3 linked regions of the Caenorhabditis elegans genome follow. The protein of the gene in region 2 interacts with the protein of the main gene of each other region in a pairwise test. Each region holds a gene or a part of one and is shown on either strand. Other genes may lie near its edges.

What was found. Proteins that work in one complex are often made in the same cells at the same time.
Region 1: the proteins of ubxn-1 (region 2) and cdc-48.1 interact in binary tests that used the Caenorhabditis elegans proteins (3 or more experiments, as listed by UniProt).
Region 3: the proteins of ubxn-1 (region 2) and cdc-48.2 interact in a two-hybrid assay, tested with the Caenorhabditis elegans proteins (3 studies listed by BioGRID).

What each region holds. Positions count from the first base shown.
Region 1 is NC_003280.10:10,559,453-10,565,231, reverse strand, and holds cdc-48.1 (Transitional endoplasmic reticulum ATPase homolog 1), read left to right. Parts: upstream 1-1,824; 5' UTR 1,825-1,841; coding exon 1,842-2,039; intron 2,040-2,167; exon of another isoform or gene 2,168-2,280; intron 2,281-2,317; coding exon 2,318-3,145; intron 3,146-3,191; coding exon 3,192-4,264; intron 4,265-4,297; exon of another isoform or gene 4,298-4,515; intron 4,516-4,519; coding exon 4,520-4,714; intron 4,715-4,763; coding exon 4,764-4,899; 3' UTR 4,900-5,201; downstream 5,202-5,779. Other genes in the region: C06A1.7 (uncharacterized protein), read right to left, coding at 1-223, 270-320; C06A1.6 (uncharacterized protein), read left to right, coding at 556-621, 665-1,057. UniProt on the Caenorhabditis elegans protein: ATP-dependent chaperone which probably uses the energy provided by ATP hydrolysis to generate mechanical force to unfold substrate proteins, disassemble protein complexes, and disaggregate protein aggregates.
Region 2 is NC_003279.8:2,431,906-2,436,194, forward strand, and holds ubxn-1 (UBX domain-containing protein 1), read left to right. Parts: upstream 1-2,096; 5' UTR 2,097-2,105; coding exon 2,106-2,317; intron 2,318-2,374; coding exon 2,375-2,647; intron 2,648-2,699; coding exon 2,700-2,946; intron 2,947-2,987; coding exon 2,988-3,111; intron 3,112-3,626; coding exon 3,627-3,670; 3' UTR 3,671-3,786; downstream 3,787-4,289. Other genes in the region: F23C8.8 (Protein kinase domain-containing protein), read right to left, coding at 1-208, 630-676; tipn-1 (Protein TIPIN homolog), read right to left, coding at 805-992, 1,049-1,310, 1,354-1,458, 1,507-1,574, 1,626-1,704. UniProt on the Caenorhabditis elegans protein: Ubiquitin-binding protein which acts as an adapter for ATPase cdc-48.1 and/or cdc-48.2, conferring substrate specificity.
Region 3 is NC_003280.10:8,136,694-8,141,808, forward strand, and holds cdc-48.2 (Transitional endoplasmic reticulum ATPase homolog 2), read left to right. Parts: upstream 1-1,802; 5' UTR 1,803-1,817; coding exon 1,818-1,889; intron 1,890-1,937; coding exon 1,938-2,263; intron 2,264-2,309; coding exon 2,310-3,285; intron 3,286-3,337; coding exon 3,338-4,056; intron 4,057-4,115; coding exon 4,116-4,455; 3' UTR 4,456-4,537; downstream 4,538-5,115. Other genes in the region: ctns-1 (Cystinosin homolog), read right to left, coding at 81-214; ints-11 (Integrator complex subunit 11), read right to left, coding at 4,593-4,946, 4,993-5,076. UniProt on the Caenorhabditis elegans protein: ATP-dependent chaperone which probably uses the energy provided by ATP hydrolysis to generate mechanical force to unfold substrate proteins, disassemble protein complexes, and disaggregate protein aggregates.

The DNA.
Region 1 (5,779 bases), on a different chromosome or scaffold from region 2:
TACAGCAACAAGTTCTACAACAAGTACAACAACATTTGGGTCTACAACAGCAGCAGCATCTTGGTCTGCAGCAGCAACATCCACATCCACCACCACCTCCTCCACATCCACAACATCCACAACATCCTCCATTTCTTTTAACACGAGAAGATCCGATAATTGATGTTTCAGATGAAATTATAGATATTTCTGTTGTTGATACTGGCAAAACTCCTGATTCAACCTATAATAGTATTGTGTTTTCTAACATTTAGAACCTTTACCGATACCTGTGAAATAGCAATAAGGGCAAAGAGAGTCAGAAGTACGATCTTATTCATTTCAGATTATTAGCGTTCGATATGGTTTTCGAATTTCCATCCATTAAATACCCTCTTCTTCTTACGTGTTTGTCGTCTCTCATTTGACACTTTTGCCGGAAACCATTTTTTGTGATCTCTCCGCGCGAGCCGCGTCATGGAAATTGAACACAAAAACTAAGACACTTTGGATCATGGAAAAGTTATATAAAAGCACCATAAAATTGAGATATTCATCAGTTTCTATTCGATCAAAATGACCAAATTCATAATTGGATCTACATTAGTTGTACTGATTTATACAATTGTATCGATTTCACAGGTTAGATTAATAGATTTAGTTCTCGTATTTAAGAAACTTATAGGTTGAATCAGGAGTTTTGCCAGTATCAACAACAGAAATATCTATAATTTCATCTGAAACATCAATTATCGGATCTTCTCGTGTTAAAAGAAATGGAGGATGTTGTGGATGTTGTGGATGTGGAGGAGGTGGTGGTGGATGTGGATGTTGCTGTTGCAGACCAAGATGCTGCTGCTGTTGTAGACCCAAATGTTGTTGTACTTGTTGTAGAACTTGTTGCTGTACTAGATGTTGTACCTGCTGTAGACCATGCTGTTGTGGATGTGGTTGCGGATGCGGATGCTGTGGATGTGGAGGTGGAGGTCGTAAACGTCGTTCCCTTCAAAAACTTCAAATTGATGAAGCTAATCGTGCTCTTGGAATCAAAAGAAGACCATCCAATGGCAAATGTTAATCCATTAATCTATTTGTTTAATTTATTCTAATTCTCGATCGGGAATAAATAATTTGGAAATTATTCAACTTATTAAATTCATAGATCTGGGAAACTATCAAGAATCAAAATCTTAAGACTATTCTCCTCTCGTCTCGTTTCACATCTCTTCGTTCTCCGTCTATCGATCGGGTGATGCTGCAAATCATTTTTATCGATCTACAAAGTGCTGCATTTACTAACGGCATATCGTTTCGAGACCCAAACGCTGATGTGCGTTATTGCAAATAACAGTTATTTTTCCAAACCAGCATTACATTACAGTCCACTTTTTTTCCTTTTCATATTTTCATCCTGGACCCAGCTACATACATTACCGCAAACGTGCAAACGGTAGATTTTATTTACTAGTTCCTTTTTTCCGAAAAATTTCAAAAAATTGTAAACTGCGTTTCCGTTTTCAAAGAACTTTTTTGAAGTTTCAACGCTTTTCATCGCAAATATTTACAAATACGTCTCGTTATTTAGAAATTTTAAAATTTTTTGAACAGTGAAAATCCTTTTCAAACTTCGCGCTAAAATTATAAAGCAACCGCGCCCTAACGTCAGAATCACCAAACACTTTTTGCGTACACTTGTTGAAAACACGCTTCTATATGCGTGGATGATGACAATTTTCAAATCTGTGTCGTTTTTAGAAATAATTTCGTGAACTTTTTTAAAATCTCAATTTTCTTTTATAGTTTCGTTCCCACTATCATTTTGGACACTCATTCTTCTTATTTTAGGTCTTAAATTGTACATAATGGCCTCGGTTCCAACGCATCAAAGCGAAAAAGAGAAGAAAAATGATGAGCTGTCGACAGCTATTCTCAAGGACAAGGTAAAGCCGAATCGCTTGATCGTCGATCAGTCCGAGCAGGATGATAATTCCGTCATCGCAGTTTCCCAAGCTAAAATGGACGAACTGGGACTTTTCCGTGGAGATGCTGTCATCCTGAAGGTATGTGTTTCTTTTTAATTTTTGATTAAAACGCACAATTTAAGAACTTGTAATGTCTGTGATTTACAATATAGGCTGAAAAACGTTCTGTTTTGAAGCTAGTACTGTTTATTTGCTGATGGTTTTATGAGTGTCATAGTTGTGCGATATAGATCAAGTAACGAATCGTTTCAAAGTATTTCGTAATCCTAACACCACGCAAAGGTGCTGATCTCGATTTTTAAACGGTTGTCACACAATTAAATTTTATTTTTCGATTCTAATGATTATTTTTGCAGGGAAAGAAGCGAAAGGAATCTGTCGCCATCATTGTCTCTGATGAGTCCTGTCCAAACGAGAAAGTTCGCATGAACCGTGTTGTCCGCAACAATCTTCGTATTCGCCTCGGAGACGTCGTGAGCATTACGCCAGCTCCAAATCTCAGTTACGGAACCCGCATTCACGTGCTCCCTATTGATGACACTATCGAAGGACTCACTGGAAACTTGTTCGATGTTTTCCTCAAGCCATACTTCCTGGAGGCTTACCGCCCACTTCACAAGGGAGATATATTCACTGTTCAAGCTGCCATGAGAACTGTGGAATTCAAAGTTGTCGAAACTGAGCCAGCTCCAGCCTGCATTGTGTCACCTGATACCATGATTCACTACGAAGGAGATCCGATCAAGAGAGAAGAAGAAGAAGAGAGCATGAATGATATTGGTTATGATGACTTGGGAGGAGTTCGGAAGCAATTGGCTCAGATCAAGGAAATGGTTGAACTGCCACTTCGACATCCCCAACTTTTCAAGGCTATTGGTATCAAGCCACCACGTGGAATTCTTCTCTTCGGTCCACCTGGCACAGGAAAGACTCTTATTGCACGTGCTGTTGCTAATGAAACCGGATCTTTCTTCTTCCTTATCAACGGACCTGAAGTAATGTCAAAGATGTCTGGAGAATCCGAGTCAAATCTTCGTAAGGCTTTCGAAGAATGCGAGAAGAATCAACCAGCTATTCTGTTTATTGACGAAATTGACGCCATTGCACCAAAACGCGAGAAGACCAATGGAGAAGTTGAGCGCAGAATTGTTTCTCAATTGCTTACACTTATGGATGGAGTCAAGGTATGCTTTTAAATTTTATATGATTCGATAATAATAATTATTTTAGGGTCGTTCTAACCTTGTGGTCATTGCTGCAACAAATCGTCCAAACTCGATTGACGGTGCTCTTCGTCGCTTCGGAAGATTCGATCGTGAAATCGATATCGGAATTCCAGATGCAGTCGGCCGGCTTGAGATTCTGCGCATTCACACGAAAAACATGAAGCTCGCGGATGATGTTGATCTTGAACAAATTGCAAATGAATGTCACGGATTCGTTGGTGCCGATTTGGCATCGTTGTGCTCGGAAGCCGCTCTTCAACAGATTCGTGAAAAGATGGAGCTCATTGATCTCGAAGATGACCAAATTGATGCAGAGGTTCTTAATTCACTCGCTGTCACAATGGAAAACTTCCGTTTTGCTCAAGGAAAGTCTTCCCCATCCGCTCTCCGCGAGGCTGTTGTCGAAACTCCGAATACAACTTGGTCCGACATTGGAGGTCTTCAAAACGTCAAGCGCGAACTTCAAGAATTGGTTCAGTATCCAGTGGAACACCCAGAAAAATATCTCAAGTTTGGAATGCAGCCATCAAGAGGAGTTTTGTTCTATGGGCCACCAGGATGTGGTAAGACACTTCTTGCCAAGGCAATTGCCAACGAGTGTCAAGCCAATTTCATCTCCATCAAGGGTCCAGAATTGCTCACAATGTGGTTCGGAGAATCGGAAGCTAACGTCCGTGATGTCTTCGACAAGGCTCGTGCAGCTGCTCCTTGCGTGTTGTTCTTCGATGAGTTGGATTCGATTGCCAAGGCAAGAGGTGGAGGCGCCGGCGGTGATGGAGGAGGTGCATCGGATCGTGTAATCAATCAAGTGCTCACCGAAATGGATGGAATGAACGCGAAGAAAAATGTGTTCATCATCGGAGCTACAAACAGACCTGATATCATTGATCCAGCTGTTCTTCGTCCAGGTCGCCTTGATCAGCTTATCTACATCCCACTCCCAGACGAAGCTTCTCGGCACCAAATTTTGAAAGCTTCTCTTCGTAAAACCCCACTCTCCAAGGATCTTGACTTGACCTTCTTGGCCAAAAACACTGTTGGATTCTCTGGAGCCGATTTGACCGAAATTTGTCAGAGGTGAGTAATTTAATTATTTGAAAATTTGTTCAAAACGCACAACTTAAGAACTTGCGAAATCTACACATTCTTGGCTCTTCTTAGCTGCGTTTTGCAGTTCAGATTCTGCCAAGTTTTGTGTTCATGGTTACGCGAGTGTCATATTTGTGCTATATAAAAAATCGTCTCACAGTAAATTATAATAGTTAGAGTATCTAAAGTCGCGCTAAGGCCCCGATATTCTATTTTTCCTGGTGTGAACGATGACATTTTCAGAGCGTGTAAGCTGGCTATTCGCGAATCGATCGAAAAGGAAATTCGGATTGAGAAGGAACGTCAAGATCGCCAAGCTCGCGGTGAGGAGCTCATGGAAGACGATGCAGTTGATCCAGTACCAGAAATTACTCGTGCTCACTTCGAGGAAGCCATGAAGTTTGCCAGACGCTCTGTTACAGACAATGACATCAGAAAGTGAGTTTTGATAATGGTTTTATTGTATGTCTATAAAATATGTTTGTAGGTACGAAATGTTTGCACAAACATTGCAACAATCTCGTGGCTTTGGAAACAACTTCAAATTCCCAGGAGAACAACGCGGAAGCGATGCCCCATCTGCCCCTGTACCTGCTCAGGATGATGACGACCTTTATAACTAATGTATTGAGTTTATCTACTGAGTCTATGTATGATACTCGTTTTATTTTCTCCCATACCCACTTTTTCACCTCGTATTTCACCCCTTTCCAACCCCCGATTTACCACTATTTATTGTAATTGAGCCCATGTTTTCGCTTTAGAAATTAATGGTTACGGATGATCTTCGCGAGAAGAAAAAATTTGTAGATACCTACATCCCAGTTGATCAAAAAGTATATCCCATTTATTTTTTTGCATCCCTCCCAATGTTTTGTATGTATTGCCGTTTTTGACATATAAATGTACGATGTCTGTAATCATAATTGTGTACGATTGTGTTGCCATATTCAAACTATTATTTGTGATTGTGTAGGTGGAATTGTCTCATGACCAATGACTGGTTGTTCCGTTGATAATGGGAAGCTGTATTTAAGATAAGTTGCCTAAGTTTAACGTAATTTTTTGGACCAGGTTTTAATATCAATCATCAAACCTATTTAGCGATCCAGTTGTTCTTGATCTTTTGGAAAGTAGAAGTGCTTTTTCATTCATTGATATCATTTTCCATCGATATTGTCTCCACACTCATAGGAGTGCACGCATTTCGTACATAGTCATGAGGTTTTTAACAAAGAAAATGCCGAATTGAGTACTATAGTTGCTTATCTTCAAGCTTGTTGAACTCGTTTCTGGCCAATTTTCAAAAATTCCTTGTCCTCGTTGTCTGTCACATGAATCTTTTAGATCAGATATTAATATTGATAGTAACTGATAAGTGCCAATAGTTTTCAAATTCTTAAAAATATCTGAAAACACAAAATTTGCCGCAAATATGCACATTTTTGTAAGAAACACCGTCACGAACAAATTCACACTACAGTGCTTTTGTTTTTTTTTTCT
Region 2 (4,289 bases):
CGCAATATGTGGATGTCGAACCTTCATGGTGATCTCCAATTCGCGCGGGAAGAATTTCTCCGCCACGTTTGCCGGAATCGATTTTCGATCCACGATTTTCACAATCACTTCTCGACGATAAAGCTGCGAATCCACTTTGAAGACAACCGAGTGAGCGGTGGTGGCAATTGGACGAGGTGAGAATGTTCCAGACACGCTTAGTCCAATTCTACAGAAATTCAAAGGTTTTTAGTCTCAAACTAGGCCTGTAAAGTTTTTCTGAGGGAGCAGAAAGCCCATGCGCCTTTAGGCGATTACTGTGTCTTTTGCAATCAATTTCACAATCAGATTTTCTAATTAAATTTCGATTCTCTTTCGAAAAATAACAGGAAACCCGGAAAAATTGCGAAATAATCTGAAAAAGACCGTACTTTCTTAAAGGCGCACTCCTCATTTCACTCAAAGGTCCTGGCACGATTGTTACTTTTTAAAGCGAGCCGTGCGCTTTTAAAGGGGTACGGTGGAAATTTTTGCCGATTTCGCAATTTTTCCTGATTTTTCTTCCGCGGAATTCCAATATTTTGAGAATATTCGTTGGAAAAACGGCGAAAATCAAGAAAAACTCGAATTTTTGACCTCCAGAAACTCACATCGGAATCAACTTTTCTGTAGACGGAGAGAGTGTTGGCGTTGACATGTCATAACAATAAGGAATGTAGTTTTATTCGATAAAAAAAAGGTCTCACGCTTTGGAAAATTCGAGAACAAAGAAAAGTTCATAAAAATATAAAATACACGTGAAATTAAAAAAAATTAATTGCTCTATCACCAATCGTTATTCATATCACCGAAATCTTCCATAAGAGCATCTTCGTCAGCAGCTTCCTTGGCTTCCTGTTCCTCTCGCAGCCGCTCTTCCTCCATCATTCGATACTCTTCCTCGACATTTTCATCAATTTCAGCGGTTTTTTGGTCGGATTTTTCAGAATTTTTAGCTTTTTCAGTCGTGACTTCTGAAATTGAAAGATTTTTTGATTTTCTAATAACAAGTTTGGATAAATTTTGCAACCTTTCTCTGGTAAATCCTTGAATAAATCATCGTCATTATCACTCGCTCCATCATCAATAATTCCATTCTTTTGATTCTCCTGCTCCTCGTGCTCAGAATCCTCGCCAGTCTCTCCAAGCCGGTGCTTGATCATGAAAACTTTAACCTGCCGCCGTGTTCCCAGTGTCTCGACTCGATTCAGAACATCTTCGGTTTTCATCTTCGGAAACATCAAATGTCCCCAGTATGCGTATTTTTTCATCAATTTCTCCAGATTTGCGTACTGAAAAGGGAAAATTATTGTATTTTTTAACTTTCAAATTTACCGGATCATCCTTGGGATTTGGCTTGAAATCTTTTAAAGTCTCCCGAAGAGCTGAAATTCCTTTCGGCCCGGTCAAAATTCGCTCATTCAGTGCTAGGCGTGGATTCTAAAGTTTGAAAAAATTTAAATAAATCATAGAAAATAAGCGTTTTACTGCTAGTCTTTTAGTCCTTAACAATTTCGGCTCCACGACTCGTCTAGTGCCTCCCTCGCCGCTGTTATCTGAACAAAACTTTAATTAAAACCCGATTTCTCACACGAAATTCTAGATACCTTCGATTGCTTCGTCTCCCATAGGGCTTGGCTCTCGATCCAATTCATCATTTTCGAAGAAATCTTCCATTTCGTCCATTTTTCTGGAAAAAAAGTTGATTTTCGATCGAAATTTCTAGGTTTTCGTGCAGAAAACGAAAAAAAATGCAAAAATCTTAGCGTTTAAAAAACTATTTTCAAACAACGCGCCGACAAAATCGGCTGAATCGCGTCGAGACCCGATCGATTAAATGCGTGCGCCTTTAAAGAAAGTCAGCATTCTCTTTGTGTTCTTGGCTAGAAAAAGTGTTCCAGTCCATTTATTATCTGAATTTTCTGATTTAAACGCATTTCTTAAGGTTTTTTATTAATTAAACCACTTTATTGTTAATATATCACTGTTTTGAACAGCTTATTTCGTAAAAAATCCCAAAATTCTTCTGGAAAATGAGAAAAAATCTAGTTTTTCGCCAAATTGTCGCATTTCTTTCCAGAATAACAATGTCGATCGCCCAACAACTCATGGATATGGGCTTCCCAGCCGACAAAGCCGAGGCCGCCGCCGGAAACAACAGAAATCTCGATCAGGCGTTGGATTGGATTGAGAAGGACGGAGCCGGTGTACCAATGGAGACAGATGCTCCAGCTCAAGCTGCTCCAGGAGCCGCTGACAGTGGTGCACCCCCGGTAGCCGCCAGTTTTAAGTGTGATGAGTGAGTTTTTCCCCCCTACGATTCTTATTAATTATTTCTCCAAATTTTTTTTTCCAGCTGCGGAAAGCTTCTCGCCAACGATGATGCTATCATGTTCCACGCTTCGAAGACAAAGCACGAGAATTTCAGCGAAAGCTCGGAAGCTATCAAGCCTCTCACTGCAGAGGAAAAGGCCGCAAAAGTCCTGGAAATCCGAGAAAAAATCAAAGTCCATCAGGCCAAAAAGGCAAAGCTCGAGGCCGAAGAGAATCGTGAGAAGGAGAAAAAGCGTCGTGAGGATGGAAAAGCCATGATCAGCCATAAAGAAGCCGCCAGAGATCGTGAAATTCGGTTAGAAAACTGTTTTCCATTGAATTTAAATAATAATATTCCCAATTTGCAGAGAAGCCGCTCAAGATCGTCGCCGCGAAAAGAACGAAGACGAAATCGCCAGAAAACGAGTTCTCGAGCAAATCCGGCTTGACAAGGAAGCCCGTAAGGCAAAAGCTTCAGGCCAACCGGTTCCAGAGGCAAAGCCTGCTCCGTCTGCAGCTCCAGTTGCTCCGCCAAAAGACTACTCAACTACAACTCTTCAATTCCGACTTCTCGATGGACAAACTGTTAGACAACAGTTTGAAGCTAATGAGCCGGTAATTTAAATATTCTCGACTCCCTTGAATTAATTTTTCAGCTCGCAATGGTCCGCGCCTGGGTCGAAACTAATCACGCAAACGGTGTTCCGTTCACCCTGATGACCCCATTCCCCCGCAAAGTGTTCACCGAGGATGATATGGGAACACCGCTCAAAGTTCTCAGTGAGTTTTGCTCAAAAAGGCCGGATTTCATGATGAAACTTGGAAATTTTCGAAAAAAAAAGTGGACGATTTTCAGCTATTTCGCCAACTTTTCCTGTTCACAGCTGCCGGAAATTTATTTTTATTCGATTTTTGTCCTTCTTCAGCAAAAAGACTCAATTTAACTGAAGAATCTGAAAAAGTGCTCAAAAATGGCCTAGAAGTCACGAATTGTCAATTGTAAGGCAATTTTTGAGCACTTTCGAATTTTTCAGTTAAATTAAGTATTATTTTCAGAAAAATCAACTGATTTTCTATATTTTGACACTAATTTTTAAATATTGGAGCAGTATGGTGCAATTTGACTTTAAATGTGCCTAAATCAACGAAAAAAACGCTAAAATATATAGATTTCTGCTGTAATTGGGCCATTTTTTCGAAAAAAATAAATAAAAATTTGAAAAGTTTCGTTATGAATTTTGGTTTTTTGAGACCAAAAAAATGTTCATTCTCTAATTTTTTTTTAAAATTTTCAGATTTGGTACCATCCGCCAACGTCATTCTCAACCGTGCCGCCTGAATCTTCAAAACTAAATTCCCACAATTTACTGCTAATTTTCTCTCCCCCCTCTCCCGAATGCTGGTATCACTTGTAAACTAAACATGTATATTGAGCATGTATAAAAATTTTCCGATAAACTTTTTTCCCCTCCATATATCTCGAGGCTCTTCATCTCCTCGTGATCTTCGAATTCCCGTCAGTTTTGCTCTCCGAGCTCTTGCCACAGATTTCTGACAAGCTGCAGGACAATCATATCTCCAGAGTGATTGGAAGCATTAGAACCTGGAAGATATTGGAATAAAAACCTGCGTACTGCACAACATATTTGACGCGCAAAATATCTCGCAGCGAAAACTGCAGTAATTCTTTAAATGATTACTGTAGGTCGATTTACGGGCTCAGATTTTCTTTTCGATTTAATTTAAGAGGCCCCACCAAAACGGAATGCAACTCAAAACAGGATACAGGGGCGGAGCCTATTTCGCAACCACCGCATGCTTTTTCCGCAAGCCTCGCACGTTTTTTCTCTTTAAAAAATGCAACAACATCAAGGAAAAAACGTGCGAGGCTTGCGGGAAAAGCATGCGCGGTTGTTGCGAAATAGGCTCCGCCCTTGCATCCTGTTTTGGTGAATCCT
Region 3 (5,115 bases), on a different chromosome or scaffold from region 2:
ATTGATTGAATACAGCACATGTTCGTATGATTGTTTTTATTTTATAACCTGTTGGATGAAAAATATTATTAATAACTCACTTGATCTGGAAATTAACAGAGACTTCTCCTCCAATTACAATTTCCAATTCTTTCTGTCTAACAACTAAATTATTTGTCGCAAATGTGAATGGAACCAAGAAGAGAACGAGCAAAAATGCCACCGGGAAACTCATTATATCATTCTGGAAACAATTATACTTCAAAAAATGGAAGCAAAATATAAAACAGGAGTTGTGAATAGAGAAAACGACGCTTTATATCATCAGTTTTGGCATTGAAATGAATCAATAACATAAATTGAGCGAGAAAAAGAGAAACAGCAAAATAGTGAAAAACGAATGATTGACCGAGAGAACGGGGGAAGGTTGGAATTTTTGTAAACAAACGAGGGAAACATCATGTTGAAAACATATATATACACATTTTTTATTTAATGCGTCGGAATATTCAGAAAATCGTTCAGATCATCGATAATTTTTATTGATAAAAGACCAAAAATCCAGTTTACATGAGGAAAACAATACACTGTGAATTTTAAAGAAAATTAAATATTCCAAAAAAATTTAATTTAATTTGTAATTTGGGAAACTGAAACAATAAAACACTATCGAAAACTTAAAAAAAAACATGGATTGAAGCTCAAAAAAACTGTTTTAATGTTTCGTTTTGTAGAACTTTAGATTTTTGTAAAGCGGGAGACACCACGAATCCGCAAGAAGTTTCTTCCAGAAGCAGATTCGCTGAAAAAAAATGAAGTTGTCTTAAACCTGATGCTTTTTTTTGATAATTTTTATACATTATGTGGTTTCCTGGTTGGCCATTTTGTTAAAATCATTATTTCCTGTAATAAAAGTCAGGCGTTCTCAGTTATTTCCAGATATCGGATTCCTAAAATAGCTGAACTCCAAAAAACGGTCAAGTCTCTGAACACCAAACGCGCTCCTTCGAACAAAAAAAGCAGCGCGTACGTTTAACGAACAGTTTTTTCTTCTAGAAATTGTTTTCTCATTGCGCAATGCATTGCTCATTATAAATAATTATGTTTTAAACAGTTGCTGGGAGGTTTTCGCTATCTCAGTCGTTGTTAAACAATTACCAGAGTGTGTTATCGTATTTATCTTTGCCGTATAATATCTTTTCCATATTTATGCGATTGCGGAAATTTACCACTGACTCTGCGGAAACTGCGGAAATTTACCACTGAAATATCACTCATATCGTACGTTTCTTTGAATTCGTCTCCTTGTTATTCAAATTATGTCTTCGTTTTTGAACGAGATATTTACCTCTAGCTTTCTAGATCGTCACATCACTTAGGTTCGCCTTGAACTTCTGTTCCGCTAAAGACGGCTGGTTCACATATATTTTTAACAATGTAATTATTACTTATGACCCGAATAAAACGGTAGAACGCTTTGTGAAATTATTCGAAAGCAAATGCGCCCCAAGGAGAGAGTGTGAATGAGAGGCTGCGTTTTGTCATCATGTAGAGGCAGCATTGGGGTGTTCTGTAGAGAACTTAGTCTACGTGTCTCATCTTCCATATTTCTTAATTTTGTTCTATTGGCTCTTTTTGCATCTCTTCTTTGATTCGATTCTTTAACTGAATTAGATCAGAAATTATACTTGAAGTTTTATCTTGAAAACCTACTGTAGAAAAGTTTGTCCGTGTTCTACTTTCTTATTAGACTTTCGCGTTTCGGCCTTTCCTATGTTCTACCCCCATCTTCCGTTCTTTTTTATTATTCCAAGATTTTACAGAGAAGTCGTTTAACCATGGCCTCAGTTCCGACTCAGAGAGACGAGAAGGAAAAGAAGAATGATGAGCTGGCTACGGCTATCTTGAAAGTAGGTTTTTCTCCAAGGTAATCATTTCAATATAATTAACTCTTTCAGGACAAAAAACGCCCAAACAGACTCATTATCGATCAGTCTGACAATGACGACAACTCCATGGTCATGCTCTCACAGGCCAAAATGGACGAGCTGGGACTCTTCCGTGGAGATTCGGTGATTTTGAAAGGAAAGAAACGAAGAGAGACTGTCTCTATCGTTCTTAATGCGGACAATTGCCCGAATGACAAGATCAAGATGAACAAAGTGGTTCGAAACAACCTCAGAAGCCGTCTTGGAGACGTTGTCAGTATCTCAAGTGCTCAACTCGAATATGGAAAAAGGGTTCATGTTCTTCCAATTGATGACACAATCGAGGGATTGACTGGGTATGTTCTTGCCACGGAGAAATAAAGACTGTATTTTTTATTTTAGAAATCTATTTGATGTCTTCCTTCGGCCATACTTTACCGACGCCTACCGCCCAGTGCACAAGGGAGACATATTCACTGTTCAAGCTGCAATGAGAACTGTCGAGTTCAAAGTTGTCGAGACGGATCCTGCTCCGGCGTGTATTGTTGCTCCAGATACTGTTATTCACTATGAAGGAGATCCAATTAAAAGAGAGGAAGAAGAGGAGGCTCTCAATGAAGTTGGATACGATGATCTCGGAGGTGTTCGTAAACAACTCGCTCAGATCAAGGAAATGGTTGAGCTCCCACTTCGCCATCCCCAACTTTTCAAGGCTATCGGAGTGAAACCACCACGTGGAATTCTTCTGTTCGGTCCACCAGGAACCGGTAAGACACTGATCGCAAGAGCTGTCGCCAACGAAACAGGAGCATTCTTCTTCCTCATTAACGGACCGGAAATTATGTCTAAAATGTCTGGAGAGTCGGAATCGAATCTTCGTAAAGCATTTGCCGAGTGTGAGAAGAACTCACCTGCTATTTTGTTCATTGACGAGATCGATGCGATTGCTCCAAAGAGAGAAAAGGCTCACGGTGAAGTCGAGAAGCGTATCGTCTCGCAACTTCTCACACTTATGGATGGACTTAAAACTCGCGCTCATGTTGTCGTGATCGCCGCTACTAATCGTCCTAACTCTATTGATGGAGCCCTTCGTCGTTTCGGTCGCTTTGATCGTGAAATTGACATTGGAATCCCTGATGCTGTTGGCCGTCTGGAAATTCTCAGAATTCATACCAAGAACATGAAATTAGGAGAAGACGTTGATTTGGAACAAGTTGCAAACGAATGCCACGGATTTGTCGGAGCTGATTTGGCTTCCCTCTGCTCTGAGGCTGCTATTCAGCAAATTCGCGAAAAGATGGAGCTGATTGATTTGGAGGATGATACAATTGATGCTGAAGTTCTCAATTCTTTGGCGGTCACTATGGAGAACTTTAGAGTAAGTTATCATTTTTTTGCACTTAAGAGACGTATCATTAATCATTTTTCAGTTCGCAATGGGAAAATCATCCCCATCTGCTCTTCGCGAAGCCGTTGTGGAAACTCCAAATACTACTTGGTCCGACATCGGAGGTCTTCAAAACGTCAAGCGCGAACTTCAGGAGCTCGTTCAATACCCTGTAGAGCATCCAGAAAAGTATCTCAAGTTCGGAATGCAACCATCTCGTGGAGTTTTGTTCTACGGTCCACCAGGATGCGGTAAAACACTTCTCGCTAAAGCGATTGCCAATGAATGCCAGGCTAACTTCATTTCCATCAAGGGACCCGAGCTTCTTACTATGTGGTTCGGAGAATCCGAAGCTAATGTTCGCGACGTGTTTGATAAAGCTCGTGCTGCCGCTCCATGCGTTCTCTTCTTTGACGAACTCGATTCGATCGCAAAGGCCAGAGGAGGAAGTGTAGGAGATGCTGGAGGTGCTGCCGATCGTGTTATCAACCAGGTTCTCACTGAAATGGATGGTATGAATGCCAAGAAAAACGTGTTCATTATTGGAGCTACCAATCGTCCTGATATCATTGATCCAGCTGTTCTTCGTCCAGGACGTCTCGATCAGTTGATCTACATTCCTCTTCCTGACGAAGCATCTAGACTTCAAATTTTCAAGGCCTCACTCCGCAAAACGCCCCTTTCCGCCGATCTCGATTTGAACTTCCTTGCCAAGAACACCGTCGGTTTTTCGGGAGCCGACTTAACCGAAATTTGCCAAAGGTTTGTTATAAAAATTAGTTAAAAAAATATTCGCATTTGTCAATTAATACCATTTTCAGAGCATGCAAGCTTGCCATTCGTGAATCAATTGAACGGGAAATTCGTCAGGAAAAGGAGCGTCAGGACAGAAGTGCTCGTGGAGAAGAACTTATGGAGGATGAACTGGCTGACCCAGTTCCAGAAATAACTAGAGCACACTTCGAGGAGGCAATGAAGTTCGCTAGACGTTCCGTGACTGATAACGATATCAGAAAATACGAGATGTTCGCCCAGACTCTTCAACAATCTCGTGGATTTGGAAACAACTTCAAGTTCCCAGGAGAAGCTCCTTCTGCTGGACAACCTGTTGGAGGAAACGGTGGCTCCGGTGGAAATGACGATGATGACCTGTACAACTAGATTTCGCTAAAATTGTTTTATTCTATTTATTGTAAATGCATCCTTGCGAGGGTATCAAATGTTCTCATGAATGTTAAATTTATTTCCAACTTTTACAAGTAAAAAAATCGTAACCGTAAAAAGTATTTGTTAAAATCTTATGCTTTAACAGAGATAGCAGGAGGGACCGGGGAGGATTCGGGTGAAATGAGATCAGTGATGGCTTTATGGATAACCTTGAACCACTGTTCACGGCATTCGTCCCAGATCAGTTCAAGCTCTGTTTCATCAGAATTGTTTGCTAAAATAGTGATTTCTCCATCAAACATTTCAATGCCGTCGTCTTTTAGTTGCAAGTGTGGATCATAGAGTAGAAGCTCGTTTGATAATTCCTTCCAATTCACTTTTTTGCCTTTGATGATTTCTGACAATGAGAGAGTGATCGGCATGCAGTTTTTATCTTTTATCAAATCTTCTGATTCTGCTGTAGACATGATATTCAGTCGTTCATTCTAAAATTATTTGAAGTTATTGCAAAATAAAGTTCAATAATCTTACTTCTTGATCGTAAACGAGCTCGGCGACAAATGGGCATTCCGATTTGGCAGGATTCGGATCGAGGCTTAGGCTTCTGTCAATTTTCTGGAATTTTTTATTTGAGTTCAATTTGTTTTAGAAACA